Oryctolagus cuniculus: one gene and its partners. The protein of the gene in region 1 interacts with the protein of each later gene in a biochemical or structural test. Links are inferred from orthologs where the notes say so. Each region holds a gene or a part of one and is shown in the gene's direction. Other genes may lie near its edges.

Region 1 (4,403 bases):
CAGCCAGGACTCCTCTTTTCTACACCCTGGTCTGCCCTCGGCAAACCCTGGCATCTTTATCTTCAGAACCAACCCAGAATTCAATCCCTCCTTAACTACTTTCATCACCTTGATCTGAACCTCCATCATCACTTCCTGGAATCTTGCAGGAGCCTTTCTGCTGGGTTTCTGGCATCCACTTTTCCCCCTAAACTCCATTCTCCAGGCGCTCCCATATAACATGTGGGCATACCAACCCCAGGTTCAGCCAGATGTCCCTGCTTAGATAGAAAAATCCTACCATTGCATTACAATTACTCATCATGATACAATTCAGCACAGGAACACGTGATAGGTATATTGTGGGCACTGTGCGGCTACATCCCATATCCAAGTGCTGGTTTGCAGCCAGGCTGCTTGGCTTCTGATCCAGCTCCCTGCTGATGCGCCTGGGAAGGCAGCAGCTGATGGCCCACGTGCTTGGGTCTCCACCCAAGTGGGAGACCCGGATGGAGTCCCAGGGGCAGGCGTTTGGAGAATGAACCAGGTGGATCACTCCTTGTGTCTCTGCCTCTCTCTCAATTATTCTGCCTTTCAAATACATATATACATACATAATGTTAAAAATGACGGATCCCCATTGTTAAGTGATGCACAACTATATACAACTTTATATACTCATACAATAAACACATTTCGATATTTAGTGACATTTATTATACACAAATATGTAAATTATTCACCATCAACAGTACCTATCGGTAGCTTTGGGATCTGCAAGGAGGAAGGCCTATACTTCCGGGAATGGAGAAGTCCCTGCCTGTACCTGCGGGGAAGAAAAGTCCTTGTCAAGGTCCCTGCGGGTGCCTAAAGGTCAACCAATGAGGATCAGACCCGCCTCAACCTTTAACCCGTATGCCCTGAATCTATAAAAGGAGCTCTCCCAATCTCTGACGTGCGACTTCCCCGCCCCCCGCTCTGTTGCTCTGTTGGGGCCTTGGAACCTCGCCCGGGTGCGTCTGCCTGGGAAGATTTGTTACGCGCTGGACACCTTGCACCTATCATGTTATATAGGATGTAGTCGTTATATGTATGCTTTATCACATATAATTTATGTCATATAGCCATAGATATCATTATAATATACTTAAATGTGGGACCATAATTTTTACTTATTTGATACGTTTATAGTCTATCTCTCACGCTGGAATGTCCGCTGCATAACGGCAAGGAAGACGAGCCAGCACCTGGCCCACAGCCATAAATGTCACATGAACAAACTTCGTTGGTCACCTAAGCCTCAACCTTTCCATCTGCAGGATGGGTGTGTCTTTCCATCTGGGGGCACCTCTACGTTCCATTCCCTCTTCCCATCGCCTCAGAGCAGGGATCCAGGAATTCCACAGCCCAGGCTTAAATTTTCTCATAGTCGGGGCGCTGATGCCCACCACGTGCACCAAGCACTAGCCAGAGGGGACTACCAACCCCAGCATGCCTCGCGCACTGGGGCTGTACCACAAGCTGTAGGGGTATCTGGAACTGAAACTTGAGCCGGCGGCACGGGAGCACGCGCGCTCGCCCCTCTAGCAATGCGTCGGTGGTACATCCCAGGCCCGGGGCCCTCTAAGGCCCCGCGCTTCCGAGCTCCGCGCAAACTCTGGCTCTCTAGTACACCGGAGGTGGTTTTCTCTTCCGTTGCCCCGTGGCTTCGGCTCATCTCCAGCAGGAAGGCGAGGCTTCCGCCCGGCGTAGGGGGTGAGCTGGAGCACCATGCCCCCAAGCCCCTGGACAGCATTTGGAGAAGGGTGCTCCCCTAAACCCCAACTTCGGGGGTCCCCTAATGGGTGTATTTGGAGCCTCTGGGCCCGGGATGGTATTTAGAGGTGTCTGCTTCTGAGGAGACCCTTCCGAGATGGCGTTTGGGAACTCTGGGGCGGGATTAGGGAGTCTGTTTTGGAAGTACCCCCTCGGACGCTGGTTTACGCAGGTAGAGGCTGGGGGGAGGTGTTTGGGTCCGTGCATGGGTGCCCTATCTGTGGGCAGCATACGGGCTCTTCCGCAAGGGGAGAGTGGAAGTTTGAGGTTACTTAAGTCAAGGCGGGATTTGGGCAGGGTTTGCTTGTTTCGGGACGGGTTCAGGACCAACGTGGCATTGTGGGGGTGTCTGTGGTCTTTGTGACTTCTGGGTCTCTGTTGAAGTCCTTGAGCTTGGCTCCTCGGGACGGTGAGCCTGGACACACCAGGGGCCCAGACCCCGGGAGAGGACCCCCTCCAGCTCAGGCTGGGAAAGGAACTGTCTGCCAGGCTTCTCCTGAGCGGACGTAATGCCACCGGGCCTTCTTTGGCTGCGGCTTCATTCATTATTCATGAGGAGGAGGGGCTGTGGTGGGAAGCTGATTGCCTTCTTCGCACCTGGTGTCCCCTGGAGGTCTGGGCTGTGAATTGTTCACGAAGCGGCGGATCAGGGTGCCGAAAGGGAGTGCTGAAAGGGTGTTCTGATTTTGCCGCCCAAGCTAGAGTTTACTGATCATTCACAGAGGTGAGTAAGTAGCGCCCGGAGTTTTCTGTGGCTTTTCTAGGGGTATTGTGCATAATTCACAAGGGGCGTGGCTTCCACCCGCCTCTTCTGCCTGTTCCGTGGTTAGCTTTCCCTTATAGGTTCCAGGGTTTAAGCCTTGCCTCTAGCGAAGGGATGAGGCTTCGTGCACTGGACATTTTTTATGGGGCAGCCATCGCATATTACCAGCGGAGGCTCTGAATTCAAATCAGTCCTTGCCAGTGGTGTGATGTTTGGCAAATCTTTCTGTGAACCTAAAAAAGGTATGAGGATAATGATTCGCTTCCACTCATTTAGCTACTTTATTAGCCTAGTTAATCTTCACAACAATCCTAGGAGGTAGGTTATTATTAGCCCACTTCATAGATGAGAAAACTGGGGCACAGTGATACTAATTTGTCTTAATGTTACACGGGCAGTGAGTGGCTAAGCCACAATTCAAACCCGAGGAGAAGTCTACGTCTAACGTCCGTAGTCTTGGCAACGCAGCGTCATAATGCGTCCCCCGCCCTATATAAGAGCGCTCCTCCTAATGCTAGTCCTATACCACTTAACTATGTGTCAAGCACCGTTTTGAGTCCTTTCTACACATTAACTGATTTAAACATCCATCTCAAGGTAAGTTACCGCTGTAATTCCCATCTTATAGATAAACAATAGCCCAAGTTGAGAATTTCTCTACTGGCTGGGTGTATATACTTACACATAACTAATTTTATGCTAACAGGAATAAATATTTGCCTCTTAGCTTTATATTAATATATCTATATTTTAAAACGCAACAGTGCCTCAAGCCAGCACTGTTCTAAGGTTCGTTCTGTAATTCACGGTCGCTGCTTTCCGTAATAGCTCATTTTATCTCTATGAGGTGCATGCGTTCTGCTACTGTCCCCATCTTAAGACTCTGGAAACTGAGGCACCTGCCAAAGACCTGTGAGTCTGGATTTGGTTGGACTAAGGCAGCCCTGGTTCCTGAGCAGTTAGTCGGGGAGTGTTGAGGCTACACTCCCCCTGGGTTTTCCCTGTGGCTCTGTGGTGTCTTCTATTGCTCGCGAACGGGAAGGCGTGGCCATGTTGCCCTGACTATAGTATCTTAATCCCTATTTGCTGGTTGGCGCTGTCTCGAGTGTTTCTGTCCGCCTAGTCTCATGCATAATTCATGAAGTGGGTGGGACCTTTCTTGACCTCTCAGTCTCCAGGTTGAGCTGCTGCAGTAGCAGTATTCATTATTCAGGAGCAGAGGGAGTAGGTGCTCCCTGCGGTAGCCCAATTTAGATGCAGCAATAGGCGGGCCCGCCCCTTTTGTTCCAGCCCACTGGGCCTCATGCATTATTCATGATTAAGCTGTAGCTTTGGTCTCCTTGGCTTCCGGGCTGCTGCAAGATCATTCATTATTCATGAGCAGTGGGGGTGTGACTTCCATGTTGTAACGTCGGCTTTCTGGCTTCTGGGTGTTAGTCTACCATCTACTCGGCTGCAGTTACGACTTGTGATCAGAAAGCATGGCCTTGAGGGCCTTTCTTGGTTTCTGTTGCAGCGTGGTGGCAGCAATTCAGTCCTTCGCGTTCCATGGGGCGTGGCCTCTGTTTTACCTGTTTTCCTAGTTATTGCTGCCGTAGCCACCAGGTGGAGCCGTTCCTCTTCTAAACGAATGAGTAACAACCTGCCAGGGAAGATTATACATGATTCATGAACGGGCGCGGCGTTCTTGCATCCGGGTTTCTGGGGGTGGGACCCAAGGTTTTGTTCCGGCCCTGGGCTTCGTGGCCGCCATCTTGTGTCGGCGGGTGAGGTGAAGGAGGTAGCAGGGACGACCACAACCACAACGGCCGGGGGAGGAGGCAGCGGCGGCGGCGGCGATTCTAGG
Region 2 (3,585 bases), on another chromosome or scaffold:
ACCAGCCTCCCTACCATCGCAAGGCCTTCAGTCTGCGCATCAACTTCCCCAAGGAGTATCCACTCAAGCCTCCCGCGGTGACGTTCACCACCAAGATCTACCACCCCAATGTGGATGAAAACGGGCAGGTCTGCCTGCCCATCATCAGCAAAGAGAACTGGAAGCCTTACACCAAGGCCTACCAAGGTGGGGCTGGGCCTTACCCCTGAGGGCGACACTGTTACTGGGTGGAGGAAGTTAGTGGACTTATTTTGAGTTAGACAAGCCTGAAAGAGAGGAGATAAAATGTGAGTCTCCGTGGAACCTACCGTTAGAGAGAAGGGGTGCCTCCTGAGATCCTGGATGCTCCTGGGCAGGTGTGACAGAGGAACTTGACCATGGACATGGGAAAGAGAGGCAGCGTGAATGCAGGGGGCAGGGCTTGGGACTAAGAAGGCCTGCTGCCCCATGTGTGGACTTAGGGCAAGACTCTATTCCTCTGTGGGACTCAGCACCCTAAGTGACAGTTGACAGTGGAGGGGATTGTCCTAACTGTGACAGTATTCATCCCTTAACTAAGCGCTGTCAGTGCACTGTGCAAAGAGCACTGTGAGCCTGCCCGCATCACCCCCAGGAGGTAGTGCTGTCATTAGCCCCATGTAATAGAGCCAGAGGCACATGAGTGGTGAAGCCGCTGCCTAAGGTCCTGTGGCTTGCAGATGGCAGAGCTTGGCTGACTCTAGAGCAGTGTTGTCCAGCTGAACTTGGTGCGGCCATGGAAATTTCCACAGCCCCACTGTCTGGTACCATCATCCCGGGCCTCATGTGGCTGTGCAACCAAGAAACAGAATTCTTCATGATGTTTTTTGTTGTTGTTTTTGTTTTTGTTTGTTTTAGGAAAGCTGTGGCCCATATAGGGGGCAAGATATTTTTTTAAAGGTTTATTTATTTTTATTTGAAAGTCAGAGTTACACAGAGTGAGGAGAGGCAGAGAGAGGGAGAGAGAGAGGTCTTCCATCCGATGGTCTACTCCCCAGTTGGCCGCAATGGCTGGAGCTGTGCTGATCTGAAGCCAGGAGCCAGGAGCTTCTTCCGGGTCTCCTCTGCAGGTGCAGGGGCTCAAAGACTTGGGCCGTCTTCTACTGTTTTCCCAGGCCATAGCAGAGAGCTGGATTGGAAGTGGAGCAGCCAGGTCTTGAACTGGTGCCCATATGGGATGCCAGCGCTTCAGGCCAGGGCGTTAACCTGCTGAGCCACAGCTCCCACCTTGTTCATGTTGTTTAATTTTAGTTAATTTAGAAAACTACATGGAGCTCCACATTGAACAATGGAGCTCCAGAACCCATGGGCTTCCTCTGGGTGCTGTCGTGTGTCTGGTCCAGCTCGGGAATTCTTAACCTGGGAAACAAGACTCTTGGCGTGGTGGTGGTGGGGCTGGGATGTGGGAGAGGTCCTAGGATGAGCCTCAGGGCTCTGTGGTGACGCACTGTTCACTCAGAGCTGTGTTTATGTGCGTACACATGTGTACTTGGGCTTCCACCTGCACGGGGCTCCCAAGGGCATCTGGAAAAGATTAAGTGCCATAGCAATAGGTTTTCCATCTTCAGCCTTAGAACCTTTTTTTCCCAGATAAATTTATTTGGAATCCCAGAATAACAACAGAAAACCAGGATGGGTCTTGTCGAAATGGGGCTGAAACCCCAAAATCTCTCTTATCTCAGTGACCCCAGAATGTGTAACTTTTCTGAAGCCATAGGACATAGCTGTTTGTAAAACACTGATCTCACCCGGCAAAGCTTTGGGCATCGTCCACCAGGAAGGGGAGGCAGTCTAAGAGATGGACTGTCCTTGGGGGTCCCCCTGAGCAGTGAGTGGGGGGATCCGGGGAGTGGACAGCCAGTGCCTCTATCCAGGGTTTTTCCCTCTGCCCTGATGTCCCGCTCTGGCCTCTCTCCACAGTCTTGGAGGCCCTCTACAATTTGGTGAATAGACCGGATCTGGCGGAGCCCGTGCGGGTAGAGCTGGCTGACCTGCTGACCCAGAACCCGGAGCTGTTCCAGAGGAAGGCAGAAGAGTTCACCCTCCAGTTCGGAGTGGACCGGCCCTCCTAAATTGGGTTTTGACCCCATCTGCGTGGGATCCTCTGCATGGTGGACCAATATACCTCACGGACTGGGGCTGGAGCCCCTGGATGAACCACTCCCCACTCAGTTTTTCCTTCTTAGGTTGCTAGCCATGAGTTTGTGTATGTGTGTGTGGCAGGAGGGAGGCTGTGGATGTGTGTGTGGTGTGAGGCCTCGCTGCCCCCAGGTTCACCTGGCCACAGGTGTGCCCTGCCCACTCCCTGAGCCTTCCCCACAGCCAAGGGGGTTTAAGTTTGCAGAGTGAACAGGTTAAATCTCCAGGGAGAGAGAGACAGGTCACATTCTAAGTCAGCCTGCTGGAAACCAGGATCCCTCCAGGGTCCAGGGCCCCAGGGAGCAGGGAGTATGGATGGGAAGCCGGGCTCGTGGAGGGCACTGTATTTCATATTTCAGTGGAGTGGTTGAAACCAGCCAAGCTACTGAGCGCCATGCACCGATTTAGGTGCTAAACCATTCATTTTCCATTTTCCACTGTTGAATCCTAAAACGAGGAGTCTGACCTCCATCCGGGGAGTCTGACTGTGTATTTTGACATTTCCTGCTATCCTGCCAGGTGGCCAGTTCCTGGGGACGGTAAGGCTGTGGCCAGCACCCGGTCCAGCAGAATCTACAGAGCCCAGTGCTTGCCTGGCCAGTGACGTCACAGATGGGGCAGGCAGTTGGCCTAGTGGTCAAGACCCTGGTTGGGATGGCCACGTCCCATACTGGAGTGCCTGGGCTTGAATCCCAGCTCTGCTCTCGACTCCAGCTTCCTGTTCGTGGGCACTGTGGGAGGCAGTGGGGGAAGGCTCAAGTGATTGGATCTCTGCCACCCTCCTGGGGGACCTGGATTGAGTTCCCAGTTCCTGATTCCCCACCCTTAACCCCCGCCCAGTGTCGGAGATTGAACCAGTGGATGGGAGTGCTCTCTCTCTCTCTCTAACAGAAATTAAACTTTAAATAGAAATGTTTTCTATGTCACAGGTGAATTCTGGGGTTGTGTCTCCAGTGAGGGGTGGGGTGGTTTCATCCATACCAGAGAGGGGGCTGCCCCGGCTGCTGCTGCCCCACAAACCCGTCGCCCTGCTTCCCGGACGCTGACCCCCAGCAGAGGTCCTCCGGAGTCCAGGGGCTGGGGGGCGGCCGTGTGGCACCGCGTTTGAGTCACTGCTGGGGACGTCTGTGTTCAAGTCCCAGGTGTTCTGCTTCTGATCCACTCAGCTTCCTGAATTGCCGGCATTTGGGAAGTGAACCCCCGGCCGGAACATCGCTCTCCATCTGTCTCGTGGTGTCTTGCTGTCTCTGCCTTTCACATGACACGAAAGTAAATAGGTTTTGTGAAAAGGTTCCCAGGGGTATCCACCGTTTTAGAGATGAGGCAGCCAAGGCACGGAGCGGCCCTTCGGTGGATCCCTTGGGTCCGTATTGCCAGTTAGGATGGACTCCACGCCTCCTGCAGCCACGCATCCTGGCTGGGGTTTTT
Region 3 (4,411 bases), on another chromosome or scaffold:
TAAAACAAAGGAAGTGTGGTTCCAGTGGTGTCAGTGTCACACAGCGGTTGGCTGCTTTACAGCCTCAGCTCCGCCCACCATGACCCTGTGTGGGTGTCAGAACAATTTCTGATAATGGTTCTTACTTCATGGGTTGTTGAAAGGATATAAAGTACAGGCTGGCACTGTGGCCTGGTGGATCAGGCCTCCACCTGCGGCACCAGCATCCCATAGGGACGCTGATTCCTGTCCAGGCTGCTCCACTTCTGATCCAGCTCTCTGCTGTGGCCTGGGAAAGCAGTAGAAGATGGCCCAAGTCCTTGGGCCCCTGTTCCCCGGGTGGGAGACCCGGAAGAAGCTCCTGGCTCCTGATGGGCTCAATTCCAGCCATTGCGGCCATTTGGCGAGTGAACGAACGAATGGAACACCTCTTTCTCTCACACACAAATAAGCAAATCTTTAAAAAATAATAATAATAAAGTACCAGGATATAGAAGCACTCAAGAAACGTCAGGGAAGTAACTTTTTAGCTGTTTCATCCTCATTCAGGGCCACGGTCCACTACTGGAAATCCAGACCTCTGGAACCCAAACGCCTGTTTTAAAACACACCTCTGGCAGCAAGTATAATCCAAAGTGACGCTCCCCTCCTTGGCATCAATGTTCGTAACGTGCCCAAATTAGTAGGGCTATTCATACACTTTTCTGAAGAAACATCACTATGTTTGGTTGCTGGCGGCTACCCGTGCCCTGGCTCTCCAATCGGAAACGCGTCTGGCCCTACTGCTTTCTGGGTGATGGTCATCAGCCTGTAATTTTTGCTAGGGAGAAGCAAAGTTTTTCTTGGAAGGCCTCTGTTTTTCTTAGTCCTTAGGATTACTTTTCACTTGAAAGATCTCAGAAAAGTCCTAAGGAATCCTCTTAGGATTTATACGCATTCCCTGGGTTCTTGTATGTTTAAGGATTTGCGGGCAGGAAAAGTCGGGAGGCCTGCTCTTTCTTCCTTCGAGTTCTTGCTCGATCCCCAGGGCAGCGCCTGGCCCTCGGCGGGGCCTTCAGACCAACGCTCAAACAAGAGAGGCCGCTTCTCGCGTGCAGTCCCGACTCCTTCCTCTTTCTGGGCGCATGACGGTGCCGGGCGCCAGGCTCGGCCACGGAGCCTCGCGCCCGCGAAGGGCCCGCAGGCGGTCACCTCTTCCGCGGCGAGCCCTACGTCCAGTCCCGTCCCAGACGCACGTCTCCGCCACCCTCTCGGTAAACAAGGAGTTTAAGCCCACTCCGCCGCTTCTTTAAACTTTCTTTCCCCGTTTCAGCATCTGAAAATAACATTTTCCACGCAGTCGGGCTCTCCGTCGCTCCCGCACGGAGAACGGCCACCGCGGGCCCAGAACCCTCGGCTCGGCCCGCTAGTGCCCCCCCCAACCCGCCCCCGCCCGGCCCTGGAGGACCGTGGGTGGACGCTCTTGCAGAGCGCCTCTCGCTGGTCGGGGCGGGGGTGGGCGGAGCCAGCGCCGCCCGGGCTGTGGAAGCGGAGGGTGGGGACACTCTGGCCCGGCTCTCGGTGGTGCGAGAGCGGGCGGGAGCAGCGGCCGCTCTGGTCGGCGGACGTGCTGCCGAGCAGTCCCGGAAGCGAAGCAGCGATGGCGGAGAGTCCGACTGAAGAGGCGGCGACGGCGACGGCAGGCGCCGGGGCGGCGGGCCCCGGGGCGAGCGGCGTCGCTGGCGTTGTTGGCGTTAGCGGCGGCGGCGGCGGGTTCGGGCCGCCTTTCCTGCCGGATGTGTGGGCGGCGGCGGCGGCGGCGGGCGGGGCCGGGGGGCCGGGGAGCGGCCTGGCTCCGCTGCCGGGGCTCCCGCCCTCGGCCGCTGCCCACGGGGCCGCGCTGCTTAGCCACTGGGACCCCACGCTCAGCTCTGACTGGGACGGCGAGCGAACCGCGCCGCAGTGTCTACTCCGGATCAAGCGGTGAGCTGGGGTGTTTCCTCCTCCAGCCCCGAGCTCCGGGGCGCGACCTTCCCCGCCCCCCACCCCTTCCCACTACAACTCACCCCCAGCCCGCTGCGCTTGCCTCGAGGCGGCCAGGCTCCAAAGCCCAAGTCTTGCCCGCAGGGAGCGTCGGGGTCCAAGTCTCTTCTCCTCCGGCCCCCCAAGCACCTATCCCCTCCTCGTGTGCCCAGGTCGGACCCCGCCCCTCGGCAGCCTCCCCCGAGCCCCGCATCTCGGAGCCGGACACCCTCCCCCACCCCCACCCCACCCCCTGCCTCCCGCCCGAAACCCGACCCTTTGGCGCTTCAGTGACACCCCCTCCCGCTTCCCCACCCCGGCCCGACTAGATGCTGCCCACAGGCCCCACCCCTGGGTCCCTCTTGTGCGCTCGGGAGCCCAGTTTCTAACACATAACCTAGCTGGCTTTACCGTGCCTTAGATTCCAGCCATTCCTTCCCTTTATCTCTGCATCTCCAGCCGCCTCCTAGTTAGTACTTTCCCAGGTCTAGGTGGGTTCCCTGGCTCACCCAGATCTTCCCTCGAACCCCTTTTCCAGTCTCACACCTGCTCAGGACACTCAGGCACGCCTCCCCCGCCCACCCCCGGGTCTCTCTGGATTGTAAGATCCCACTCAGGACCTTCTTTCTTACGGGTTTTCCTCACCCACACACCTGGATTGTTTGATTTACTTTTCTCAAGCAAATATATTCAGCTTAATTACAGGAACAAAGGCCTAAGTCCTTTCTGTGCTTATTTCTTGGGTGACTGATTTGAGATAATATCACTTCATAGATAAAATGTTTCGCAGAAGTGCATAGCCTGGTACCCATCACATAAGGAAGAGAGTAGTACTGTGTAGCTGCCGTGAATCCTGAAATCTGTTTCCAGATGACCAGACTGCTGCCCACACTCCCGTCACGATCCTCCTCCTCCTCCTCTTCCTCCTCCTCCTCCTCTTCCTCCTCCTCCTCCAGGTGCAGCCCCAGGTTCCGAGTTCCTTCATCTGTCTCTCTACTTGCTTTTCAAGGTTGTGATAGAAGTTCAGCAGGACAGTGTGCGTAAAGCACCTGGCACAGTGCCTGACACAGGATACCAACTCTCTGGGCTTTGCTGCCCCCAACTTAAACTTGAACCTCAACTCTTGTATACTCCCTTGCTCCTGTCAGTCTTCTGATCCTGACATACTGTTGAGTTCGGCCTAAGACTTCCTTCCTTGCTCTGCCACCGTTTGTACTTTTTACACTCCTGCCTCCCCTAGCAGGTCCCTGGCCTTTTCCCTACCTGGAATGTCCTTTAGCCCCCTGCTCTCAGCTAGCCCAATCCAGTTGGTGAGCCGTGACCCTGACATCCTCTCATCTGCAGTAATCACATGTTCCTCTAGATAGGAGAGGGTGAGCGGTTTCAGAGGGTCCCCCTCCCCCCACCCAGAGAAGCTGCCGCTCTGTTAGTCCCCTGAGCTGGAAGACCGCCGTGATGGGGTTGCTCCTCGCCAGCTCACTTGTTTCATGTCATCTTCTGCACATGAGAGGTTGCATGGGTTATGGAATTCGGTTTTTTAGTGGAGTTGATTGTGCCTTCAGAGTTTCTTTAAAAAATCCTCGTGTGGTGTCTGCCGTAGTACCTGGGAACCTCGGAGGTGGGAAGTGGGTGAGTCGCCATGTGGGAGGAAGTGAGAGTAAATGGGATGTGGCTTTTCCAGGGTGACATCTGATAACATTGGGATCTCTGATATTTTTTTTTCTTTCCTTTCCCTGCCCTCCCCCTGATGAAACAATGTCCCTTTGATGATAATTTGCTCTCTGCCTGCCTGATAAGTACTCAGCTGAGGATCTCAGCCAACAAGACAGTGCAAACATTTGTGGTACCAAGCGCCACTTTCTCAAACCCTGGCCTCACTGAGGCGATAACAATTGTCCCGCTCAAGGGATTCCCCTTCCCCTCCCCTCACTCTTTCCCCGCCTCCTCTTGGTGTTACCAGGGATATCATGTCCATTTATAAGGAGCCTCCTCCGGGAATGTTCGTCGTACCCGATACTGTTGACATGACCAAGGTATGTAACTTGATGGGGAGCCAGGGGGCTTCGGGAAATTGGCCCATAAAGTTGGAAGAGTATAAAAGATTATTCAGCTCGCCTCTCTGATTAGGCAGGTGAAGAAGTGGAGACCCTAGGGGAGTGAGTGGCTCAGCCAGGGTCACACAGTGAAGTGGAGCAGAGCCTTCAGCAGGTGTCTGTTACAGTGCTGATAGGTAGTGAGTGGCTGGAAAAATCCCAGCCGATGCGCGTTGTTCAGCTTAGCTGTTAGGACGCTTTCTGAGTGTCGGAGTGCGCCAGGCTGGGTGAAGTTACCTGGTCACCTTGCCCACTGTACTACCCAGCTCTTTGCCCGTCTCCCCCTCCTGACTTTGACCGTGGTACTGTTAAGCAGACGCAGGGAAGGTCAGGGAGAG
Region 4 (3,643 bases), on another chromosome or scaffold:
CAGAGCAGTGGCTTTCCCTGACCACTCAGTGCCAGCCACCCCCGTGCCCACACGCCGGGCCCACCCAGCAGTTCTAGCAGTCGGTGCCATGAGGGGCTCCCAGTGTGGCCTGGTGTAGGCAGAATTGATTCTACTTGGACTTCCTGTCTAAAAATAAGAAAGCCAGATGTCACCTGGCCTTCGGTTCACCTCTCTGAGAAATCCAGTCTGAGGGAAGAGGTCCAAGGCCTGGCCCAGGGCCTCCACGTCAGCAGAGAAACCAGAGCAGCCAGGGCTGAGTGGGGCGAGCCCCGAATGCAGACAGCACCGTCCGTCCCGCGGAAGAAGTCGCCCCAAGAAACAAGCGGCAGGTGGAGGGGGCGTGCAGCGCTGCAGCCTCGGGCAGCCGACGAGGGCGGCGTCGGAAGGCGGTTGAGGCGGCAGCCGTGGGACTGCGGGACACAGCAGGTCCCTGCGGGGGCGGGCGGTGTCCACAGGGCTCACCCTTGTGAAGCAGTCCCCAAGCCCGCTGAGCAGCTGCTGCCGGTGCAGCCTGGGAGCAGGGTGCCGGGGAGGGGCCGCCCAGGCGTTCCAAGGCAGCTTCCCCTTGCTCTGACCCCCTGTTTCCTTCTCAGGCGCAGCGTGGCTGGGACCAGATGCCAGGGGGTGTGGTGTGGGGCAGACAAGAGTGGGAGCATTGGGCTGGGACCAGGAGGGCGCCATTGGGAAGGGGGGTGAGGACCGGCGGCACGAGGGGGGAGCCCCCCGGAGCAGTGTGCTGGGACACTGGGACGTGACAGCTGCCCTCCGTGTGGGCAAAGTGCCTTCTGTCACGGGCCCTGGGTGCCCCGCAGAGTCGTCCAGTGGGGCTGCTGAAGCCCCGGCAGCCACCCGTCACCCGCGCAGCCGGCCCGGGGCCTCCCAGACCCAGGCGCACCTGCAGCTGACGGACCCTTTCTTCTCTCCCCAGTTCTCTTGTCCATCTGCTCCTTGCTCTGCGACCCCAATCCCGATGACCCACTGGTGCCGGAGATAGCCCACACCTACAAGGCCGACAGAGAGAAGTACGCGTCCTCTCGGGTTGCCTTTGTGCTGCCGCTGCCCCGGGCAGCACCGGGCGCCACGCTGCGGCTCCCGGGGCGTGGGCTCCTGGCTCTCACTAACACATCCTCTGGCTCCAAGGGAGGAGACGAGCAGCCGGCTCCTCACCTCCTGCACAGCGCATCCGCTGCCGCTTCTACACGGTAGCCCGTTGCCGAGCTCTGGTCTCAGGGCCGGCGGTCAGTGGCCAGCCGAGAGTGCACGCAGAAGAAAACCTGGAGTAAATGCTGAAGTCTAGCGTAAGACAGCGGGGGGCTGCTCGGACACACCAGGTGAGGCCGAGCGGCAGGGCAGGCGGGAGACACTGCCGTGGCCAGCTGGCCGGCTGCGAGCCGAGTGTTGTGCTCTGTTTCACGGACCCTGAGACCGCCTGCTGTGTTTAACACTGACGGCCACGCGTGGAACTGTAGAAGTGCAGCGCCCTCGGCCAGGCACAGCCACAGCCACAGCCACAGCCACAGCCACAGCCACGTGTGCTGCGGAATGGGGCAGCTGTGGTGGGCGGAGCAGGCCGGGGGTCGGCGTTCATCTGAGTGCCGACGGCAGTGAGGAAGGGCAGTGTGGCTGGGGGCCCTGCCAGTGTGTCGCTGGGGAAGGGTGCTGGGTGCTGCACAGTGCTGGTTGAGTCCCATCGGCCCTGCCGGTCCAGCTTCCTGCTGGTGCACTCTGGAGGCAGGAGACGGGGGCTCCAGTGAAGGGCCACCGTCACCACAGTGGGGGACCTGAGTGGAGGGCTGGGCTCCTGGCTGTGGGCTGGCCCAGCTCTGGCTTCGCGAACATTTGGGGAATGAACCAGTGAATAAAATGTTTCTCTCCCGGGGCTGGTGTGGCGTAGCCGGTAAAACTGCCTGCGACTGCAGCTCCCATGTGGGCGCTGGTTCAGTCCCGAAGCTCCTTTCTGATCCAGCCCCCATTAATGGCCTAGGAAAGCAATGGAGGGTGGCCCAAATCCCACCCCCGTGGGAGACCTGGAAGAAACCCCCAGCCCTGGCTTCCACCTGGCCCAGCCCCAGTCGTTGTGGCCATTTGGAGAGTGAACCAGTGGATGGAAGACCTCTTCTCTCCCTCTGCAACTCTGCCTTTCAAATGAATAGGTAAATTTTAAGAGTATTTTCAGTGAGCTTTTAGTTCATCACTCCTCTTCTGTCTGAAGAGATGAGAATGTCGTTTTTCCAACTTGTATGTTTGAGACCTTTATAGATCTGATTTCCACTGAAGTTTCCTGATAAAATAATTTTCAATGACTAGATTTTAAATTGTACTTATTTAACATGTAACTTAATTAACTTATTTAACATTAGGACTTTTTAAAATATTTATTTGAAAGGCAGAATTACAGAGAGACAGAAGCAGATGGAAACATCTCGCTCCTTCATTCACAACAGCAGGGGCTGGGCCAGGCCAAAGCCAGCAGCCACGTGGGTGGCAGGGCCCCGGGCGTTTGAGCCATCATTTGCTGCCTCCCACAGTACACGTGGCGGGACGCTGAGACAGGACTTGAACCCAGACACGCCAGTGTGGGATGTGGGTGACCCAAGGGGCATATTCTTCTTCTTTTTTTTTTTTTAAGATTTATTTATTTATTTGAAAGAATTAGAGAGAGGGACATCCAGAGAGAGATGCTTCATCCGTGGCTCACTCCCAAATGGCTACAACAGCTAGGGCCGAGCCAGCCCGAAGCCAGGACCAGGAGCTCCAGCCAGGTCCCCCGTGTGGGTGGCAGGGGCCCAGACACGTGCACCATCAGCAGGCCATCAGCAGGGAGCTGGACTGGAAGTGGAGCAGCAGGACACGAACCAGCGCCCACGGGGAATGCTGGCACTGCAGGCGGCAGCTCTACCCCGTGAACCACAGTGCTGGCCCCCATCAAGTGACTTCCCTTGTTCTCTAACCGGAGTCTGCACAGATCTCACAGCAGTAATGACGCACGGTGCTCCCTGGTGCCAGGCCTGCCGCGCAGGTCTCGCGCGCGCACTCGCCTAGTCTTCCCCGCTACCACCCCGGGCAGACGTCCAGGGAGGCCAGGGCGCAGAGGCGGCCCCGCCCCAGCCGCCCACGCCTGTGCTGTGGGCTTGTGGAGTGGCTGCCTGGAGCTCTTCCCGGAGGGGCTGTGAATGTCTCCCCCTCTTCTCCCTGCGCGCACACTGTGACAGCGGAGAGCATGGGCGGCGCTCTGCTGCCTTAGGCGATCTTCCATAGCCAGTCTCTTCCGAGAACCACCAGGACTCAGAGGCAGCTGCCTGCCCGCAGCCCTGGCTGCTTAACCCAGCGCCCCCCGCACACTCCTGCTCTCCGCCCCACGCTGAGAGGAGGTGACCGTTCCAAGTGGGGTGTCACTCCCTCTGCTTTTTCTTCCAGGTACAACAGACTAGCAAGAGAGTGGACACAGAAATACGCTCTGTAAGTGTCTTGGACAAGGTCTTGTGGGAGATACTGCCCAGGAGAAGCTGGCCAGAGGGGTCTCTCGTGAGACTGTGCTGTGGGCTGGGCCACGGAGCGCGTCATGTGTTCTTCAAACGCTGGTCACCCGCCGGGTCCTGCTGCAGTGTGTCGGGGCGCGGTC
Region 5 (4,361 bases), on another chromosome or scaffold:
CTTTTTAAAGCATTTTATTTCTCAAAGTCATACCAAGTTCTAAAGGAGCCACTTCCCTCTGTCTCAAATCCTTGTCTGTGGCTGCTGTGTCTGGTAGGGTCCCAGGAGCCCGGGGGGACTGGAGGAAAAATGAAGTGGCAGCAATGCCAATGTGGAAGCCAGTTCTTTCTCGCTCAGAACCCAGGACTTGAATCTCCTCCTTTTCCCTGTCCCAGTGACCCTTAGTGCTTCCAGCCAGAGCCGTAGGTACACAATGTTACATGCAGAGGCGGTTTCCTGGGAAGGTGGGTCACAGGTTTTATCAGCTTCTCAAAGAGACCTGCGACCCTCCGATGGCTAGGAAGCGCTACAACAGGTTATAATGCCTCCGAAATAAAAGGTAAAATAGTCCTCGGTCAGGGGACTTCATTTCTTGTAGACCATAAACAGGAGGCGTGCCGGGCCTCTGGTTGAAACAATTACGAATTTCAAGATGGTGACAGTAGCAAGTTAACCAGGCAGGGAGCCCCGTGTGACTACACAGGTGTTACCCTAACAGCCTGCCCAACTTCATTTCGGGGCTACCTTGCGTGTGCCAGGGACTGGGTTCGACGCTGAGGATTCCAGATTAAGGGTGGGCTTCCCAAACTACCTAACGGGTCCTGGGGAGACAACTCTTAATAAGAAGACAGTCCCACTGGGCGGAGAGCGAACTAAGAGGAAGAAGGTATCAAAATAACGACAGGTGCCGAGCAGAAGAGCTAGCATAGGGCGTGACACAGGGGGGCTGAGAGGCCACTTCACAGGTCAGGTGGTCAGGGGGGCGCTCCCTGACATCCAAGACCTTTCATGAAAACAGGGGCCTACGTGGGAAGCCGCGAGGGCTAGCTCAAGTCCGGCAAAGAGGCCAAAGGCGGGAAGAGGGAGAGACGGTACTCAGGTGGGGCAGGGAGCCCAGGAGTGGCCGGCAGGGGCCAAGCCGTCCTGGCTGCACGGATGCCCGGATCGCAAAGGAGGGTCCCCGCCTGGAGAAGCGGCGGCCGGACTGGGGCGTGGGCCGCGGGGGTGCCCCGGCCCGCTGTCAGGTGCACCGGCGGCCGCCCCCAGAGGCCGGCGCGCGTCCGCGGCGGCGCCGACGTGGCCGGCGGGAGCGGCCGCGCACGTGTCTGGCCCCAGGCCTGGGGGCGGGGGCGCGCGCGGGGGGTCTCCGGCCTCTCCTCGGGTTCGGGGCCCGGGAGCCGGCTGGCCCCCAGCCTCCCGTCCGCCGGCGCGAGGAGCCGAGCAGATGGGACGGGCCGGGGTGGGGGCTGGGTCGTGGCGAGGAGGGGGCGGGCGGGCGGGCGCGCGCACCGGCCACGTGCACGCGCGGGGCGGGGAGGGGAACGAGGGCGGGGTGGGGGGCGCCCTTTTCCAGGCGGTGGCGGGGGCGGCGTCGCCGCTGCCCTTTTAAGCCGCGGGGCCGCCGCCTCCTGCCGGTGGTGGAGTCGGTTACAAAGGGAGCGGCCGCCCGCCGAGGCCTCGGCGCCCCCCTCGCCATTTTCCTGCCGCGCTCGGACGCGGGTGTCGCGGCGGCGGGGAGAGGCGGAGCCGCGAGAGCACGGCCCGGGCCGGCCCCGCGGGGCGGTCGCGGCCGTGACGGCGGCTCGGGGCCCGGCTCCCCTTCCGCAACCCCTCCCGCCGGAGATGAGGGGAAGATGTCCGTGTCAGGGCTGAAGGCCGAGCTGAAGTTCCTGGCGTCCATCTTCGACAAGAACCACGAGCGGTTCCGCATCGTCAGCTGGAAGCTGGACGAGCTGCACTGCCAGTTCCTGGTGCCGCCGCCGGCGCCGCCGCTGCTCACGCTGCACTGCAACATCACGGTGAGGCGGCCGCGCGGGGCCGGCGAGGGCGAGGGCGGCCACGGGCGCCCCAGACCTCGCACAAAGGCCGCCGGCTCCCGGGCGCGGGGCGCGGGGCGCGGCCGGGCGCGCGGCGCTGCCCTGAGGCTCTTGGCCCCTCGCGGCCCCCGTCGCCGCGCCCGCCCGAGTCCTCGCCGGGCGCCATGGCCGCCTGCCTGCCTGCTTGCCTGCCTGCCGTTGGCGTCGGCTCGGCTCCGGCCGCGCGTTTGAGCCCAGACGGGGAAAAGGGGAAAGAAAGAAAAAAAAAAAAGGCCTTGAAGTTTTTAACCGGAGCATTCCGGGGCCGGATTTCCGGCTGTGTGTGTAAGTTTGTGCGTGGAGGACGGGGTCGCGAGAGGGGCTCGGAGCGGCGGCAGGTGGTGGGCCGGCCGGGCCTGGCCGCTGCGCCGCCGAGGCGCTGACCGGAAGGACCCCCGACGCCGAGGAGCCGGTAAATCTCCTCCCCGGGGGTGCGGCGGCCGAGCCGGGGGGGACCCGGGCTGGACGCCCCGGGGTGGTGTCGGGTCCCCTCTCGGCGCTGCCCGTGGGGAAGTGGCCGGGAGTGGGCGGGCGGCCTCGCAGGTGGGGTGATGGGGCTGGCGGTGGTCGGGCGGCGGTTCTAGAAGAGAAATAAACAGGTACACCTGGGCGGGGGGCGGCTCTGGTTCGCGGCGCCTCGGGCCGCGCTGGGAGCTGGGCTTCCAGCACCGGGCAGGGCAGCCCCCAGCCTTGTGGGGAGAAGAGGGGCAGCCACGGTGCGTGGGTGGAGGTGTGTGGGGGTGTCCGGGGAAGCCCCGGGGCCGCTCAGGTGCGCCTGGGCGAGGAGCGCTCCGGCTGGCCGTGGTGGCTTTGGGCGCGTCCCGGAGCTGCACACCCCACCCCACCCCCCAATAAAAGGACTCCAGAGCTCGGGCAAGTGTGGGTCGCTTGGGAGTGGACAGTGTGTGCCCCCCGGTGTAGGCTGTGCAAGGCCAAGTTGTCTAAACAGGGGAAGCCGGAAGTAGTCGTGCGGGTGAAGTGGGTGCTAACCCGGGGAGACTGCTCTGGCCAGGCAGGGCTGGTTCCACGGCCAGGACGGCCGCCGAGTGACTCAGGCCAGCTGGACAAGCAGTGGCTGGCACTAGGAGGGCTGTGTGTGTGTGGGGGGGGGGGGGTGGGGCGGTGCCGCTGTGCCGGTCCGCAGCGCCAGGGGTACCGGGATGGGGCGGTGTGCCACAACAGAGCCCTCCCACCTCGGCTGAGAACCGGGTGGGGGGCTGATGGTCCTGAAAGTCCGCCACAGGCCAAGGCAGTGAGCGATGACCCGGATTCAGTAGCGGCAAGGAGTGCAGTAGACACTCAGTGGAAGATGCGCTGGGGGGGACCGGGGTGGTGGTCCGGCTAGCTGGGGACTGTTAGCATTGAGGTGCAGGTGAGTTGGGAGGGGGTTGTCATGGTGCATGCCCAGTGTGTGCTGACCCTTCATCATGGGAGGGCGTCAGACACAGGGAACTGAAAGTGAAGAGAAACTCGAGGGGCCGGCTCCAACAAGGGTGCATTTCTGGCCAATCTTAATGTCGTCTGTACCCCACTTCGGATTCTTCTGGAGCAGATTCCAGACATACCACTTCCTGTTCAAGTAATTTCAGTATTTATTTCTAAAAAAAAAAAGACTCTTTGAAGATGAGTGACTATTTTGATAAAATCTGTGTGGTTTGTTCATGTTAAACTATTTGCTTAGAATGGAAAGAGCAAGGAAAAAAATGCATCTGGATTTCACATACCAGGATCTGTCCGTGGGGTTTGTGATTTGTTATTTTCTAAAAAAATTATTATTATTAAAGCATTTGATGTGTTTAACTTTTGCTCCTCAGGCGGCCTAGCTGTTGATTAAGCTCATCTGCCTGTCAGGCCTTGTCTTCTCCACGCTTACCAAGAAGTGTTCCTGTGCAGTTTTCGTGATGTTTGAGCAGATACGATCACACCAGTAGCTTTCTTTTTCCCAGAAGACTTATTTGTTCATTTACTTGTTTATTTGAAAGGCAGAGTGTGAGAAAGGGACAGAGGAGGAGGAGGGAGGGGGGAGAGAGGAGGCGGTGGGGAAGAGAGCTTCCTTCCATCCATTGGTTCCCTCCCCAAATGGCCGCAACAGCCGAGTCTGGGCCAGACCAAAGCCGGGAGCCAGGTGCTTCATCCAGGCCTTTGCCAGGCGCATTAGCAGGAAAGAGGGTTGGGAGCCGAGCAGTGCAGACTGGACTGGCGCCCTGATGTGGGACGTGGGCATCCCGGGTGGCAGCTTGGTCCGCTGTGCCGCAGTGCCTGCCCCAGTGGGGTCTTCATGCACACGCGTGCCTGTGTGCGCCTTTTTCTTTCAGGCTTCTGTCTGATCTGGTTTTCCCTTTGAAACATGCCCGTGACAGCTGCCCCTTACTGTACCTGGGTCTGTCTGCCAGGTCTGATTGTCCCTCAGGGCTCTTCTGGGTCATACTCCGTTCAAGCTGATACTTCCCCTCCCTCCCTTTAGGC
Region 6 (3,643 bases), on another chromosome or scaffold:
TGTGTGTATGTGCGTGTGCGTGTGTGTTCTGAAGAGAGAGGAGCAAATGGGGCCTCACGCTAACAGAAGGAGATTGTGGGTAAAGTGTTCTTTGTACTTTTGTTGTAATTTTTCTGTAAGTTTGAGATATTTTAAAATAGGTTTTTATACATATGCCTGAGCACATTAGGGCTTATTGCTTTTTTTTTTTTTAATACTTAATCTCATTCTTTGTTGCTCTTACCAATTTACCTTTAATACTTTACTGGTTTTAAGATGTTAGCATGTATATTTGCAGATGTATATATTGATTTTTAATTTCTTTTAAATAGTGCTGGGCCTAAAGGAGATAACATTTATGAGTGGAGATCAACTATACTTGGTCCACCAGGTTCTGTATATGAAGGTGGTGTGTTTTTTCTGGATATCACATTTTCATCAGATTATCCATTTAAACCACCAAAGGTAAGAACATATAAGTATATTCTTTAATATTCATTCTTCTCTGAAATCATTAATTCTAGGACTTGCTTGTATTCTGGTTGCATTTTATTTCATTATTTTTCATGAATTTATGTGGAATCTCACATGAAAGAATTTTAAAACTGAAAGTAATTGAGTCTTACAAATAATTTTGTGATCAACAGAAGGAAGGTGAATTGTTAATTGTAAATAAAACTATACTTTGCATATCAGTGAGGCAGATACATTTTGAACTTCTGAGGGAAAATATTCGGTGAACCTTCTCTAAGAAACATACTGGGACAAAAAACTGACAGTTTGCAGAAATGAGAGTTTAGTGTGAGTTTTATGCGAAATCCTTCATAGATAAGCAAAAACCTGGGAAACTACAACAGATACACAGGAAACTAGTAATGTGGCTGCGTGGGTATGACCTTGTACTGGAAGTGGAGGATGACCGGGGGTGGTTTCTGCCTGTTAGTGCTTCATTCACTTGAAATATGAATTACATGGCTAACAAAGAGAAGCATTAAGTTGTGCCTTGTCATAACTGTCAGTTTACCAGACTTAAACGTAACATAATTAGTTTACAAAACTTAAACAAGACACTCATGTGAATGGCTTCCTTCCTTTTACCTGTCAAGCTATATAAAAAAAAAAAAAAATGCCAGAACGAAATCAGAACACAATTGTACTTTTATTCCAGAGACGTTCAACATGCCAGGGGGAAAAGTGTGTTAGCAAGCCTATAGCCCTTAGCTGCTACATTATTCCTCTTATGCCCTATACTATTTAAGGTTTATGTAGAGGGGGAAGCATTTGACACAGTTGTAAAGATGCTGCGTGGTACGCCCACATCGCATTTTGGAGTGGCTGGGTTTGTCTCAGCTCCACTTTCAACTTTCTTGCTAATGTACACCCTCAGAAACAGAAGATGATGGCCCAAGTACTTGGGTCCCTGCTACCCGTGTTGGAGATCTGGATTGATTTCCAGACTCCTGGGATAAGATTGGGCAAGCCCCAGCTATTGTGGATATTTAGGGAGTGAACTAGCAGATTGAAAATCACTCTGCCTATGTGTGTGTGTCTCTGTCTTCCAAATAAATAAAATCTTTTAAAATTACAATTTATGTAGCAACTTGATGCATGTGTGTGTAATATATATAATAAATATTACGTAAAGATTTAAGAAAGATTCTGTCTCAGGAAAGCATTATATAATAAGGTAACAACAGTGCCACCTAGTGGTATTTACCTCAAGTTGCAGATGCCAAGGTCTGGATCCCCTACAAATATTTACTGTCAGTTACAGTTACCAGATTATTTTTGGAGTGTTTTTCTATGTGTTCCATCAGAATCTAAGATCTCAGCCGGCGCCGTGGCTCAATAGGCTAATCCTCCACCTTGCGGCGCCGGCAAACCGGGTTCTAGTCCCGGTTGGGGCGCCGGATTCTGTCCCGGTTGCCCCTCTTCCAGGCCAGCTCTCTGCTATGGCCAGGGAGTGCAGTGGAGGATGGCCCAGGTGCTTGGGCCCTGCACCCCATGGGAGACCAGGAAAAGCACCTGGCTCCTGGCTCCTGCCAGGATCAGCGCAGTGCGCCGGCTGCAGCGGCGGCCATTGGAGGGTGAACCAGCGGCAAAGGAAGACCTTTCTCTCTCTCTGTCTCTCTCTCACTGTCCACTCTGCCTGTCAAAAAAAAAAAAAAGAATCTAAGATCTTGAAGTTAATATATTTTTTACTGTTTCCAGGTCTATAGAATCCATCTTGCTGAATCAATTAAAAGGGCGAAACCCTAATTTGATTAACACCTTTAAATGTTAGTATAATGCTAAAAGTACTCTGTATTACAGGAAAACAAATGAAATTTTAGAAATACCTTATAACTGTATTTATAAGTAGTGATAACTCTGCCTAGTGTTCCATATTAGAATTGCTTTAAACATGTTAGCAAAACTAGGGGAAAAAAGCAAGATTTATTTTATACAGAATTATAACACTGTTAACATTTGTCCTATCAACTTAATGGAAAATGGGTTGACTAACATGGGTTTCAAACAGTTGTTCTGTGTGTGATTTATCATTTTGATTAATGCAGTTCTTTTCAAATTCAGCTTATTAATTTTTGAAATTATAATTTAATTTTCTAATTCTTTAATTTCTGTTTACTCCTCTTGCTAAGATAACTTATGTAGAATTAGGCATCACTAAGTTCTAAAAAAATGTTGGACATTTGAAACAAACGAAGTTTCTGCTATTAACTTGTTGGAACAATTATTTCTGTTTAGTTCCTGTTTTTTGAAGTTAAAAGTTGAACTTGTTGAATGATAAATATGTAATTCTCTTCTGTTCATGAATAGTATTTTTGTTCTCTAGTTATTAAGAGCTGAACATTTTCAAAATATTAATTTTATTTGTAAACCACTGTGTCTCTATTGAGTGTCAATAACCTGAATATACATTATTCCTCATTTTATAGAGCAGCACTAATAGAATTATAATAGAGACTATAGATAGAAGTTTAAATGTTCAGGTAGGCACAGTTAAAAATGGAAAAAGAGACCATAAACTTATATTTTTATTTACTTACTTTGAGAGATAAGAGAACAAGTTCCCATATGTTGGCTCCCTCTCCCAAATGCTCACAACTAGGTGTGGGCCAAGCTGAAGTTAGGACCTGGGAACTCAATGTCCCCTGCGGATGGCAGGGACCCACCCACATCAGCCGCCCCCTACTGCCTTCCAGGGTACACGACATCAGAAAGCTAGAACCTAAAATGGAGCCAGGACACTAAACCAGGCACTTAAATACTGGATGCAGGTTTCTTCAGTGGTATTTTTACTGCTAGGTCAAACAAGTACCCCTAAAATTAATAATAATTTGTTTTGGTTAGCCAAGTACCAAAACACTGTCATTTTCACATAAGTACAGTATTATTTCTGATGCCTTTTACATCATCTTTTTGCCACCAAGTTTTTGAAATCTGATTTTATACTTTGATGCTTTGGGTAGCCCCAGTTCAAAAGTTGTGTATTCACACATATGTAGTTAGTTGGTTTTGTATTGGACAGAGCAGTTCTAGAGGCTCCGCCTCTTCCCACACTGAACCAGTAAGCTATTCCTGTCTTTCCGTCCTCACCTTTCAACTACTGCCCCCTTTTCAGAAAGATACGTCTGAGAAATTTTAGTATTTTCTTTCAGAT
Region 7 (4,358 bases), on another chromosome or scaffold:
TGCTGGCATCCCATATGGGCGCCGATTCAGTTTGAGACCTGGCTGCTCCACTTCCGATCCAACTCTCTGCTGTGGCCTTGAAAAGCAGTGGAGGATGACCCAAGTCCTTGGGCCCCTGCACCCGTGTGAGAGACCTGGAAGAAGCTCCTGGCTTCAAGTCAGCACAGCTCCAGCCGTTACGGCCAATTGGGGAGTGAACCAGCAGATGGAAGACCTCTCTCTCTCTACCTCTCCTACACTGTGTAACTCTTTCAAGAAAAATTAATCTTAAAAAAAAAAAAAAGTAGTCTGTTTCAAAAACGAAGAATGGCATCCAGAACACAGCTGTGCCTTTAAAGTTCTTCCTTTCAAGTTCTTGTTTATGGGCCATTTACCTTGAGTCAGTCACTATACTAAATAGTGTACATAATGATTCATTTAATCATTACAATTGCTTGTGTTAGGTGTAATTAACTCCCTTTTACAGAGGCTGATGAAGCAGGAAGAGAGAATATTAAAGTTAGGGTCAGAGCTGGAACCAAGGTCTTTCTGATCCCAAATTGTGTGGCACCCTCACGGGGTCCCAACTTCTCTAGGGAACAGTTTAGGCAGTAAGAGTCTCGCAAACCGTAAGGTATTCTAACATCATGGGGGCTGCCTCTCACTATGAAGTGACATGTCTCTTCAGTCCAGATTCTCTCAAAAGTCCCTCAATTCCAGACTGGACAAAAAGCTGAGGGCACTTAGAAGGGGTCAAAGTCCAACCACGGTATTATTATTTTTTTTTTTTACAAATGGGTGAGCTGAGGGCTGGCCAGAGCACTGGCCCCACATCACACGGAGAAGGGCCAGGAACCCAGTTTCGGTCCGTGTTATTTCTCTCATAACTTCCTCTTTGCAGTTAAGGGAAGTAGGGGCACGCCTATCGGCCTTCCCCCACCTCTCGAATGGGAAACTGCCTCTCCCCAAGGTGGTGACCTGGCCAAGAACACACTGGCATGAATGAGGGCTGGAATCGCCAAGACAGACGTCGTCAAGAGGCCTGTTCTCACCGATAAGGCCCAAATCCTCGGTGCTTCCTAATCAAGGGCCTGGTTAACAGGAGGGACTGCGAGGGGGCAGAGATGAGCCTACAGAGGACCCGGGCTCCGCTACCCCGGCCTTCGGGGTCGAGCCCTGAGGGCCCCAGAACGTGAGCCCTCTTCCGGGACACGCCTTTGGATCCGCAGCGTCGCGGTGCACAACAGTCACGTCGGGCCCAGGGGATCCGCCGCGGCCCGCCCTCGGCCCTCACTGCCGCTCGGGCCTTTAAGGGCGGAGGACACACGCCGGCGTCACAAAGCGCCGCCACCGCGCGGGCCAGCCGGGAGGAGGCGGGGAAGCGGGAGAGGAGGAGGAGGAGGAGGAGGAGGAGGAGGGCGAGGCGGGCGGGGGAGGGAGGGGCGCGCGCACGCGCGTCGGGCCGCCAGCCGCCGAGAGCCGCCCCCCTCCCGGCGCGCGCCCCTCCTCCCTCTCTCCCTCCCTCCTTCTCGGCTCCGTCGCTCCCGCGGCGCGCGGCGCTCTCGCTCTTCGCCTCCTCCTCCGCCCCTCCCCCCGCGCAGCCGCCGCCGCCGCCGCCGCAGCCGCGAGACCCCCGCGCGCCGCGCTCCCCCCGCCCCCTCTGGCCCCGCGCGCCCTCCGGCCCCGGCGGCCCCCGAGGAGAACGAGAGGGCGAGCGAGCGCGGCGCTCCCGGGCCGTCGCGGCCCCCTCCCCTTACCATCGCCGGCCCTCCGCCACCTTCCTCGGCTTCCACCTTCTCTCCCCCCCCCCAAGTTGAGGCCCCCTCCGGGGGGGGGAGGCCCGGCACCGGGAGCGAATTCCCCGAACTCCCTCTGCCCCTGCCCCCACCCGGCCGGAGTGAGGAGAAGGGCCCGGCCCGGCCCGCGTCGTGTGTGAGGAGGATCCCGGGCGGGCCCGCGGGCCGACTGGGGCCTGGTCCGGCCCGCCGGCGGTGTGAAGACAGGGGCCCGGGGCGGCCCGGCTCGAGGGCGAGCGCAGGGGAGGGGCCTGGTCCGGCCCGGCCGGTGCGTGAGGACTGGGGCCCCGGCCCGCACGGCCGCCGCCGCGATGGCCCAGCAGCAGATGACCAGCTCGCAGAAGGCCCTGATGCTGGAGCTCAAATCCCTGCAGGAGGAACCGGTGGAGGGCTTCCGGATCACCCTGGTGGATGAGTCCGACCTCTACAACTGGGAGGTGGCCATCTTCGGACCCCCCAACACCCTCTACGAAGGCGGCTACTTCAAGGTACTCCCATCCCCCGACCTGGCCGCGCGGGCCGCGGCCTCGGCTCCCCACCGCCCTCGGCTGTTTTCGGGGGCCAGGAGAGTGGGCACGGCTGAGTGAGGGGGCTCCTCGCCTCGACACCCCCTCCCCCATCCGTGGAGGCTGGAAGGCCTTGCTCACCCAGTGCCTTTTCTTTGTCATGGGGGCGGGTGCGGGAGGCCAGACTGCACCGGGAGAGAGGGAAGCCTCTCGGACTAGGGTCGTGGCTCCGGGAGGAGGAGGAGGCCTGTCTTTGTTTGCTCCCCAGCCGAGGGGGTGATGGCAGGAGAGGGGGGCTGCCTTCCCCTCCCGTCCTCCCATCACAACCCTCCCTGGCGCAGCTGGAACTGCCCCAGAGGGCAGGGTGACCTGCACCTACTGGATTGGACTTTTCTTTTTTGGGGGGTGGGGGTGGGGGAGGGGCACTAGCCTGTCATTCCAGAGGCTGCCAGTGCCCTGACATTTTGAGCGTTTGTTGGGCTGTGGTGGTTGCAACTTTGCGTTCCAGTGGCGATATTGAAGAATGGGACCCTAGGGGTGGTTAAAAAGAAAGAAAAAAAGACGGAGGGGGGGGTGCCTGCGGGATTTTTTTTGGGGGGGGGCCATTATCCACTTGAGGGAACTTTAATTTAGCCCTCTTTCTGTTCTCGTTCTCTATTTACCTCGGTCAATGGTTCTTTCAAAAATGCCCTTTGTCCTCACCCAGGCTCCCCTGCCCCCCGTGTAGAAATATCCACAGAAGGTGCAACATGTCTTGTAGGGCGACTGGTCTTTTCCCACTTTGGGGAGACAAAAATTGAAACCTTTTGCTCAGGTGGCTGGTTAACTAGCAAATGGGGTTGTCGCCCAGATGAAAAGTATCATGAGAGATGAGGCGATTTCACTGGGTGGGATGGCTCCTTAGCGACCAGAGACATTGTTTCTATTGTTTTCCATGATTTTAGGACAGTGGTTATTATTCCGGAATCTCGTGATTTTGTTTTTTTCTTTTGACCCCCAAGGCAGATATAACTTGAGTTTTTGCTTTTGTTTTTACGTTAGCATTTTTAAAGACAAGAATCACAGATTGAAGATTTCATTGTTATAAATGGTGGGGGCAGATACAGAGGAAATAGTGTTTAGGAATGCATTTAATATTTTTATTTCCACACACAAAAAAATAGGCCATTGAGTCAATTTTAGTTTGTTTTGAAGGGAGGGGTTATCTTGGCACAAGTTTTAAATGAGTATCTTAGTCATGTAGTTGTGATGTGTATTTTTAGGACTACCCAATTACTTAACTCTTGTTTTCTATGCTTCTAAAGGTGGAAGCCTCAATTTCAGACTTGAAATTAGGTCAACTTTGTAGAAAATAGGATTGATATGGAAATGTTTAATATTCACAGCTGTGATAGTCACTGAAAAGCACATGTTGAGAATATTATGAAGCCAAACCGATGGCTTTGGTTTTTTTTTTTTTTCCCCGTGGGCCACAAACAGTATACTTTTCAGATGTAGATTTTTAAAATTGCTGAGAAAAGGTGCAAGTTACTAGTGGCGAATTGGAAACGATATTGCTTGTCTATGTTGTCAAATATAAGTTTTTGTTTACAGATACTGGAAAAATTAGTTTCACAGGGTGGAATTTATATGAAAACTTTTCTAGTAAAGTATTAGCAAAATCTGGCTAGTGGTAGTGGAGTAAAGTTTAATTTCCAAAAAGTAATTTTTTGGGCCTGGTAAGTGGGTACTTGTTAGACTGGCCTTACTCCCAGGCAGTTTGTTAAAGATTGCAAATGAAAGATCATGTACTGCAAACTATAATACTTTTGCATCAGTAACTGGGGAAGGAGTGTGGAAAATCCTCTCCATTTGGAATAGGTAGTGTGGAAAGATTCTTTGTCGTTTACACTCATTAAAACCAAATGCTTTTTAATTTCAGTCCTGTTTAAAAAGAATGCTTTAATGTCTGTTTTGTTATGCTAGATTTCTTAATTTTTGAATGTTTTTACTTTTAATTCTCAAAAAAATATGAAAATTCTTAAACAGGTTTTATGTTTTGATCATGGTGAGTTTATTCACTTAGATTCTACTTTTT

What was found.
Region 2: of the proteins of UBA1 (region 1) and UBE2L6, one has a biochemical effect on the other in vitro, tested with the Homo sapiens proteins (2 studies listed by BioGRID). The link is inferred for Oryctolagus cuniculus from reciprocal best matches to the Homo sapiens genes UBA1 and UBE2L6.
Region 3: of the proteins of UBA1 (region 1) and UBE2Z, one has a biochemical effect on the other in vitro, tested with the Homo sapiens proteins (3 studies listed by BioGRID). The link is inferred for Oryctolagus cuniculus from reciprocal best matches to the Homo sapiens genes UBA1 and UBE2Z.
Region 4: of the proteins of UBA1 (region 1) and UBE2D4, one has a biochemical effect on the other in vitro, tested with the Homo sapiens proteins (4 studies listed by BioGRID). The link is inferred for Oryctolagus cuniculus from reciprocal best matches to the Homo sapiens genes UBA1 and UBE2D4.
Region 5: of the proteins of UBA1 (region 1) and UBE2Q2, one has a biochemical effect on the other in vitro, tested with the Homo sapiens proteins (3 studies listed by BioGRID). The link is inferred for Oryctolagus cuniculus from reciprocal best matches to the Homo sapiens genes UBA1 and UBE2Q2.
Region 6: of the proteins of UBA1 (region 1) and UBE2E3, one has a biochemical effect on the other in vitro, tested with the Homo sapiens proteins (3 studies listed by BioGRID, with this or other methods). The link is inferred for Oryctolagus cuniculus from reciprocal best matches to the Homo sapiens genes UBA1 and UBE2E3.
Region 7: of the proteins of UBA1 (region 1) and UBE2R2, one has a biochemical effect on the other in vitro, tested with the Homo sapiens proteins (5 studies listed by BioGRID, with this or other methods). The link is inferred for Oryctolagus cuniculus from reciprocal best matches to the Homo sapiens genes UBA1 and UBE2R2.

Annotation. Positions count from the first base shown.
Region 1 is NC_091453.1:32,724,510-32,728,912, forward strand, and holds the start of UBA1 (ubiquitin-like modifier-activating enzyme 1), read left to right. Parts: upstream 1-1,552; 5' UTR 1,553-1,734; exon of another isoform or gene 1,735-3,154; intron 3,155-4,237; exon of another isoform or gene 4,238-4,403. UniProt on the Homo sapiens protein: Catalyzes the first step in ubiquitin conjugation to mark cellular proteins for degradation through the ubiquitin-proteasome system.
Region 2 is NC_091432.1:14,577,883-14,581,467, forward strand, and holds the end of UBE2L6 (ubiquitin/ISG15-conjugating enzyme E2 L6), read left to right. Parts: coding exon 1-186; intron 187-1,938; coding exon 1,939-2,090; 3' UTR 2,091-3,073; downstream 3,074-3,585. UniProt on the Homo sapiens protein: Catalyzes the covalent attachment of ubiquitin or ISG15 to other proteins. Functions in the E6/E6-AP-induced ubiquitination of p53/TP53. Promotes ubiquitination and subsequent proteasomal degradation of FLT3.
Region 3 is NC_091448.1:25,120,937-25,125,347, forward strand, and holds the start of UBE2Z (ubiquitin-conjugating enzyme E2 Z), read left to right. Parts: upstream 1-1,511; 5' UTR 1,512-1,618; coding exon 1,619-1,941; intron 1,942-3,940; coding exon 3,941-4,013; intron 4,014-4,411. UniProt on the Homo sapiens protein: Catalyzes the covalent attachment of ubiquitin to other proteins. Specific substrate for UBA6, not charged with ubiquitin by UBE1. May be involved in apoptosis regulation.
Region 4 is NC_091447.1:51,544,583-51,548,225, forward strand, and holds part of UBE2D4 (ubiquitin-conjugating enzyme E2 D4), read left to right. Parts: intron 1-949; coding exon 950-1,043; exon of another isoform or gene 1,044-1,352; intron 1,353-3,438; coding exon 3,439-3,484; 3' UTR 3,485-3,643. UniProt on the Homo sapiens protein: Accepts ubiquitin from the E1 complex and catalyzes its covalent attachment to other proteins. In vitro able to promote polyubiquitination using all 7 ubiquitin Lys residues, but may prefer 'Lys-11' and 'Lys-48'-linked polyubiquitination.
Region 5 is NC_091443.1:106,476,404-106,480,764, forward strand, and holds the start of UBE2Q2 (ubiquitin-conjugating enzyme E2 Q2), read left to right. Parts: upstream 1-1,469; 5' UTR 1,470-1,673; coding exon 1,674-1,838; intron 1,839-1,997; exon of another isoform or gene 1,998-2,307; intron 2,308-2,313; exon of another isoform or gene 2,314-4,361.
Region 6 is NC_091434.1:59,872,583-59,876,225, reverse strand, and holds part of UBE2E3 (ubiquitin-conjugating enzyme E2 E3), read left to right. Parts: intron 1-311; coding exon 312-444; intron 445-3,643. UniProt on the Homo sapiens protein: Accepts ubiquitin from the E1 complex and catalyzes its covalent attachment to other proteins. In vitro catalyzes 'Lys-11'- and 'Lys-48'-, as well as 'Lys-63'-linked polyubiquitination.
Region 7 is NC_091432.1:196,852,856-196,857,213, forward strand, and holds the start of UBE2R2 (ubiquitin-conjugating enzyme E2 R2), read left to right. Parts: upstream 1-1,510; 5' UTR 1,511-2,086; coding exon 2,087-2,263; intron 2,264-4,358. UniProt on the Homo sapiens protein: E2 ubiquitin-conjugating enzyme that accepts ubiquitin from an E1 ubiquitin-activating protein, and catalyzes its covalent attachment to other proteins by an E3 ubiquitin-protein ligase complex.